Yarrowia lipolytica: one gene and its partner. The protein of the gene in region 2 interacts with the protein of the main gene of each other region in a pairwise test. Links are inferred from orthologs where the notes say so. Each region holds a gene or a part of one and is shown on either strand. Other genes may lie near its edges.

Region 1 (3,405 bases), on a different chromosome or scaffold from region 2:
TCCACAATCTAAACGCCCCAAGCAACGAGTCCAGGTGCCCTATGCTAACAAGCACCTACGGAGGCCCGTCAAACATACTTTCTCGGGCAGAGTGCATGACCTGAATGTGGCCAAAATCATCAAGACTAGCTCGCTGAGGAACGGCCACATGATGCAGAGCGTGTCTTCGTCCGTGGACTCGGGCCGTTCCAAGTCTCTGGAGGCCCAACACGAGGACAGACTCCAAGACTTTGCTTCCAAACAGCTCGAGTTCAGAGAGTATATGAAGCAAGTGAACAGTGGGCACGTTCCAGACGCTTCCGACCACTCTCGCAGTGTGTCTCCTGCTTCGGTGGCGGACTCGTTGTCTTCTGAAAGCTCCAAGGAGTCTTCTCCGGGCGTTGAAACGAAGCAACCGGACTTTTGTCTAGCTACAAGTACAAGTACTGAGAGAGCCCCCTCGTATCCATCGTCACGTGAGCTTGAAGAGAGCTAGGGTAAACGTGCGGCTGGAGCGAAAGACGTAACGCGGTGTGTGCCTCGAGACAACCCATTCACCAACTAACTTTCAACCACCATGTAATTCATGGTGTTTCGATCTCATGACGACGGCTTGCCTCCACTCAGACCCCAAACTGCTTTTTGTTTGCTCTCATAAGTGGCCATTTATACAAGGCCCGTTTGGGTGGTTCCGCATCCTCTCAGACCCCCTCTAAGCATCAGATAGGTATAACTGGACGGTTATTTGCCCCAATATATACAAGCATGTATGTAGAGTATAGTATATAAATTTTATGGTGTATTCTCCTAATAGTTCCCAGCTTGGTACCGCACTTTAGCTATTATTTATTAACGGCATGCTCCCCTCAAGCAAGCACGTCCACAGAAAACTCTGGGCGTTGCGCAAGGGCCCGGCTCGGCTATAGCGAGAAGATTGCTCTCTCACGCTGATAAGATTTGTTTGGTCGGCGTGTGGCCCGTATTCGTCCAGAACCACAGGCAGTTATTTAACGTCGTAGCAGGACTTTGGCTTTGGCTCGCCATACAATCTATGAACTGAAAAATGAAGGTCAAAAAAGAACAAGACTGGTGCTGCGAAGCCTTATGTCTATATCAAGTGTATCAGCGGATGCACGTCGGGGAATTTATCGGTGAAATAGCTGCTGTTAAGACCGCAGCTGTAGTTATCGGTGGGTCCATAGTTTTATGATATGTCGGTAAAGTCGGCAGTCAGAGTGCGGTGATCTGTGCCGAATTGTGTGTACGTACTGTACAACAAGCAGCAGTACGATATCGTATTCGACTACGGTACTCCGTACTACTTGTAGGTGACGACACTTGACTCAAGAGATGACGGTACTTGTAACGTTTCAGAGGAGGCAACAAACAGACGAGATTGCGCGTTGGTCCGAGCACCCGGTCTCTTTCTCGTGCAGGAACGAGAGATGGCCTTCTGCTGCTGTCCATACATGGCGGGTCAAGTCAGCAGTGCACAGCTTTGTCCTGAGTGTTATAGGGACAACGTTCACGTATCATAGGAGAAGAAATGTCGAGTTTAAAGCGACAAATGAAAAAGAGTGAGACCCTGCTGTGCGCGAGTCAACTAAGCTGTCCTCTGGAGCAGAAGTGCTTTGTATATAAATCTTGCCGGCTGCTCCTTATGTTGTTTTGTTTCCGCCCTCCGCCCTCCGCCTTCTTTTACAACGCCCTTGGCTCTCTTTATTGACTCAACCCCGAATCGAACGGCTGTGACTACGAGCTCTTACACCCCGACAACCGTTACAGTGTGTCGTACTGTACCTCAAAACAGATAGGGCCTGCAACCAGCAACCCGCAGCACACGCGCTTTGAAGAGCCTCTCTAGCACCTCCGATCGGAAACACTCAGGTTTAAGATCGCGCCATCGTATTTTCTTTGTTCATTCTAACCAAACCTTGCGGACTCATCGTATACAAGCACGTACGTACTCGTACTACCACAACGACTTGTCCTGCTCGGTGAAACAAACGACATCCCCGGAAACCTTGGCGCAGTGCTCATTTAGAATTAGTTGACGCATCTCAACTAGCTACTGCACGATACCGTAACCGCCCAGACACTGCGTTTCGACATCTCCACAACTCTCCCTTACACAAACAACACCCCCAAAACATCCTTTTTGCACCACCTCCGCCATGCCCGAGCCCACAATCGAAAGCCTGAAGAAGGAGGTCGACTTTCTCTCTGCCCAGCTCCGAAAAGTCACCGGGCTGGTCGCTGAGACCGGCAAACAGGTGCTCTCCATCCAGGTGAACCAGGAGAAGGGCGCCCTCAACAACCTCACAATCACCGACGTGGAAGGCAAGCCAGTCCAGTCGCAAAAGGACAAGGCTTCATCGTCCGAAGACAGCCAGGCCGTCACCTCTGAGGATCTCGTGGTGCTTGTGACCGAACTCCAGGACCAGCTCGACAACCTCGAGACTAAGTCGATCCGACGAACCGCAAACTCCTTTGCCCAGAAAGACGCCGACCTCATTGCCTCGCTGCCCCGAATTGATGGCATGTGCCCCGCCCAGGAGCTCGACGACGAAACCCACCCCGACTGGGTATTCCCCAAGACCCTGGGAGAGTTCAAGAAGCTCGATAATGCCAAGGTGGAACAGTGGATGCGGTTCTACGAGCTGCTGCCTCCGGACGAAGCCGAACTTGCCAAGCTCCAAGAGGTGCTGGGCAAGGAGGAGCTTGAGGAGGCCATGGAGAACGCCCGAAAGTCTGCTGAACTGTCGGAGGCGGAGGCCATTGAGCGATTTGATACTCTCGCCCGGTTCTTTGGTCTGCGGGAGCGACGAGGCACCAACGCCTGGTAGATGTGCCCGCTATGACTATTGATACAAAATCCATTACGACTTCCGGTATTCTTCTTTTTCGAGGCCGAATTAATAATGAGCGAAAAAATGACAACCATGAGACCACCAATCGAGAGAGAAACAGTACACAGTATATTATTTTAGTTTTTTGTTTCCTCATTTGAGGACAATGTGAAAAAAAAAAAAGCAGATGATAGATGATGATGTTTAAATACTGTATTACATGTCGGCCTATAGAGGACTACTTATAGGTACGCCACTCAAGCGTCTCCGTATCTGATCAGATATCTGTGCCATATCCCGTTAACTATATAATGCTTTTCTAAATCACTCGTTTCGGACCTTCTTTCGAGATCGGTCTCCAGAGGCGTCTTCTCCATCTCCTCCGTTGGCTCGCTTGAATCCTCCTCGATCAGAGCCTCCAAATCCTCCTCGGGGAGCCCCGCCTCGACCTCCTCGGAAACCTCCTCGGCCCCGACCTCCTCCTCGAGGGAAAGTTCCTCCTCCTCGAGTGATGATTCGGGCTCCACCTCGGCCAAATCGCTTCTGTCCAGGATTGGCCAGAGACTTGGCGTCCAGA
Region 2 (4,175 bases):
GTTTGTGAAAGAGAAAAAGTAGCATTAAATTAACTATAATATCTCCAAGTATGCCCCAATATTACTCTTATGTCTCCTGTGTGTCTTCTTCGAATTTTTGAAACTGTTCTGGATGTGACCTGCTATAGAGGGGTGTGCGTAGAGAGTGTTTTGGAGGATATTTAAGATGAACTGAGCATAAAATTGTATGGAATGATAATGGCGATACTGGTAGCACTTACGTGACCCGTTTAATCATTCTTTAGTTATATACAACTACTGATTTTTGATTATCATGAAATTGCAGGACAGCAGGCACCATGAGAAGTTTGAAACTTGTCTAAGATAGACTGGTGTGGTACGCAGACAAACAGCATCAATTGATCAAGGCTCTTTGTGTTCTTTTAGTACCGGTAACATTTGATTGAGTCCCATATCTCAAACAAAGAGATTTTGTATATACGAAGAATGAGTGATATACAGCACATAGTGTTATACGCTCTACGAACGGAATCATTACAATGCCCAAACTAATACACTTACACCCATTGTGTTATGTTATCTAATACTTTTGTTAATCTATATTTCTAATTACTGGTGAAGTTCGTTCATGGGTTTGCATCGTTCATGGGCTAATCGTATCGAACAGCTCGAAGTCTATCATTCTCCCACCGACGCTCCAGTCGCTCCACCTTTGTGTTGTTGTCCTTGGTGTGATCCACCTCCTTCTCAAACTGCGAGAAGAAACCAGCAATCTTGGAGGGGAACCATCGTTTGTCCTTGCCCCAGTGGAACCAGCCAATGTGTCCTCCATGATTGGTGGCAGCCATGACGGTGTAGGGGTTTCGCTTGATCTCGTGGTAGGGCAGCTGGAAGCCGGGAGCCACGGGGTCGTCCAGGGCATGCAGAATCAAAGTGGGGACTCGGATGTTCATGATTCGGTTACACGACGAGCCATGTCGATAGTAGTCGGTGGCGGTGTCGAATCCGAACATGGGGGCGGTGAACAGGTTGTCAAAGTCGACAATGGACTTGACCTGCTTAGTCAGCGACTCGTCGTAGATGGGGTTTCGCTTCATGACCTCCCGGTGGTTTCGGAGCATTCGCAGCAGGTTCTTAGCCATCTGGGGGTTGTACAGGTGTCGTCCAGACCACGAGCTTCGCAGGGCGTAGTATGAGGCACACAGGTCCCAGGGGTTGGCAACAACACAGGCAGCCTCAATGTCGATGTCCTCGGCCTCTTGGCCCAGGTAGTTAGCGAGAATGGAGGCTCCAAGAGAGAAACCCACCATGTAGAATCGCCGGTTGGGGTATCGCTTTCGCATATCCTTGACAAACCTTCGCACGTCCTCGGTCCAGCAGCCGTTGAACAGCTCGGGGGTCTTGATGGTGGTTCGGGCGCATCCTCGAGTGTTCATGACAACACACTCAAAGTCTACAAGGGTTCCGTCGGCAGAAGCGTTGTATTGAGAGGTGATTTTAGCAACAACAGCTCGCACGTAGGACTCATAAGAGCCGCCGGTGAGGCCGTGGAGAAGAATCAGCATGGGCTTGGAGTCGTCGCTGTGGTCGAGCTCCACTTCCTGGGGCTGCTTGTATCGGGTTCGAACTGGGAACTTCGGGGTGTTCTCCTCGGGCTTGTACTCGAGTCCCTTCTTCCAGGCCGCCTTTTCCTCAGGGGTCTTGGGGGCGGGGACGACGTAATCGGCGGCAATCTGAACGCCGTCGTCGAAATCAACCATTCGTCGGGCGTAGTAGACCAGGTCGGTGCCATGGAGGTCGTTCTGAGAAGCCATGATGGTCTGCACATGGTTGAGGATCTTGAGAGGGTTGTACCACAGAGTGTCGCCGTTTTTGAGGCCGGGGACCTGCTGGATCAGAGCGTCGAGCGACTCAGTCTTGCCGTTCTTGAGATGCAGCTCCAACGGTTTTCTGGGCTTGGTGATCTTCACATGGTCTCGTGACTTGAAAATGAAGTAGGCGGCCAGAAACAGGCCAACCACCACCTTGTGTGCGCCCAGAAACGACCAGACGTAGTCGGCCAGCCGTGCGGATCGTTCGATAGTGGGGTTCATGATGTGCGAAGTACGATTCGGGTCGGGTCTCAGTAACAGAAATGGCTGCACCAGATTTTATATATGTGATGCGAAAAAAATAAGCCTTGCAGGCCGCCGTTAAATTGCTGCATGACGAGTTAAAAGGGGCGTGATAGATAAATGAGGGATAGGGGGAACGAGGCCGAGAAGCGGGAGCGGGTTGTTAAGCCGAAAATCACGTATACGACTGATCATTCTATGAGATATTATCATGTGATTAGTGCTCTTGGGGAATTCGGGCTCGTTGTGCCGCTCATTGCCCACTGTACCTCATCAGTCATATCGCCAAAGTCAACGTCACGTCAGCAATGACTTTGACTGGACGTGAGTTTAAGAGCCTTCACGGTTGACGCCAGAGGGATATTCCGAATAGACGTGCGATTACGGTTGCCGGTTACGAATTTAGCGCAGTCCGACTTTTGGACTGGCTTCCGTTGCGTAGCATGTACCAGCATTGTCCCCTCCGCAACGACAAGACTCCCCCGCCCCCTCGTCTTCTCGGATCGGCTTTAAGCTACGCTAACGCCGATTCCGTCTCCAGCCGGAGTTTTTGTCTGGTGCTGCGTCTTGTTGAGTTGAAAATCCGCAAAGTTGCGTCGAAGAGCCCGCGTATACGCACAGAATGCGCGCACCCAAACAGATAAGCCGAGGTATCGGAGGTTGGTGTCGGCAAAAGGGACAATCTCGCACACGGTGCACGAGACACGTACAGTGCTAGTAATTATAGTAAGGCCAGACAGGTCTTTTTTTTTATTTGGCTGTAAGAGGGAGGGGGCTGTGCACACGTTTGCAGGTCAAGATATAAAATGGGGACGGAGTGTGAAGAGTGGGATAGGTAGGGGATTATGCACCGAGTCGCGAAAACTCGGCCTTCGGCTCATTGGCATTGTTTTTGCTTCCCTGGTTGCCATCGTTATCGGCTTCCAGAGCCCTCCTTTAATTTTGACTCGGACGGATTAATGTAATTGTCCGACAAGCCTTGATCAAGCAGGGTCTCGGTAAGAGCGGTGGAGCACAGCAGAGCAATCTCGTCCGGTGGAGGAGTACTTGGAAAATAAAAGCTGAAATTGTAATCACGTGATCAGCTCATTTGATTGGTGTGTTTTTCTTCTTCCACATTGTTCTCTTTTTATCACGTCGTTCAACAAACCTCTGACTGCTCCACGAACCTCCTCCTCCCAGCTGCTGCCAAACTGCTCGCTTTGGAACTGCCGAATACGAACGTTTGAAACAAGCAAATATTGCACCGTCCTGCGCCGCCTAGAGCCCGATCTGTAGCTGGATTGATACCAGCACGTGGTTGGACTGCAATGGGGATATATAATCCAATCAGACACGTATAATTGCCAACCTCCTTTGTCATAAACCAAGTGCTGGGCCATGCCCTGTTAAGTATGAAGTACACACTTGACTCCATCAACTAAGTATATTTGACTTGTATGATTCGCCATAGCTCCCTGATAATACCCAGAAGAGCGACATCTGGAGACTAAGATCGAAAAAAGTGTCTTATTGTTGCTCTTTTCAGCCTTACTCGTCCATCTGAGAATCACTCTCTTCCCATTCAAGCCACCTCTCCAGCTGCTCACTTTAACTCTCGTTTTTACAACAGACTCGACGGGCAGACTCGGGCCATAAATGAAAGCTATAAACCTGAGCTCCGAGAAATGCCATGAAGGACCAAAGGAATTGTAGGGTGGAAGAGGCTGTCTGTGATGCTGAATTCCAGACGGGATTGATTTCTGCGTAGTTAACTTCACTTCAACGAGCCCACCCACTCAATTTAAGTATGATCCCAACTAGATTACTTCGAAGGCAGCTACAGTACAATGTGTAATTAGTTATAAACAATTAGTGGGATAAATGAAGGGACAATAAGAGAGCTGCATTCTTGTGTGTATGTACTACGGTAAAGATATCGAGTAGAGAATTGAAGGGCTGAAAGACAGGGTAAAAGAGTATAGCATCCACAATGACGACTTGCCATCATCAGCCCTTGAGCTGAGAGACGGGAGATGCTACATCTAACTGTCAACCGAACAACAAGTGACCTCGGAATGATAAAACAGAAGCCTGAGAGATGGTTTGGATGAGGTCCAG

The links.
Region 1: the proteins of YALI1_B24564g (region 2) and YALI1_D14156g interact in a two-hybrid assay, tested with the Saccharomyces cerevisiae proteins (2 studies listed by BioGRID). The link is inferred for Yarrowia lipolytica from reciprocal best matches to the Saccharomyces cerevisiae genes MGL2 and MRP8.

Annotation. Positions count from the first base shown.
Region 1 is NC_090773.1:1,414,429-1,417,833, reverse strand, and holds YALI1_D14156g (uncharacterized protein), read left to right. Parts: upstream 1-2,153; coding exon 2,154-2,825; downstream 2,826-3,405. Other genes in the region: YALI1_D14180g (uncharacterized protein), read left to right, coding at 1-475; YALI1_D14125g (uncharacterized protein), read right to left, coding at 3,153-3,405.
Region 2 is NC_090771.1:2,454,353-2,458,527, forward strand, and holds YALI1_B24564g (uncharacterized protein), read right to left. Parts: upstream 2,055-4,175; coding exon 612-2,054; downstream 1-611. UniProt on the Saccharomyces cerevisiae protein: Converts monoacylglycerides (MAG) to free fatty acids and glycerol. Has a preference for palmitoyl-MAG. Does not play a significant role in ethyl ester biosynthesis. Also possesses ester hydrolase and low but persistent TAG lipase activity.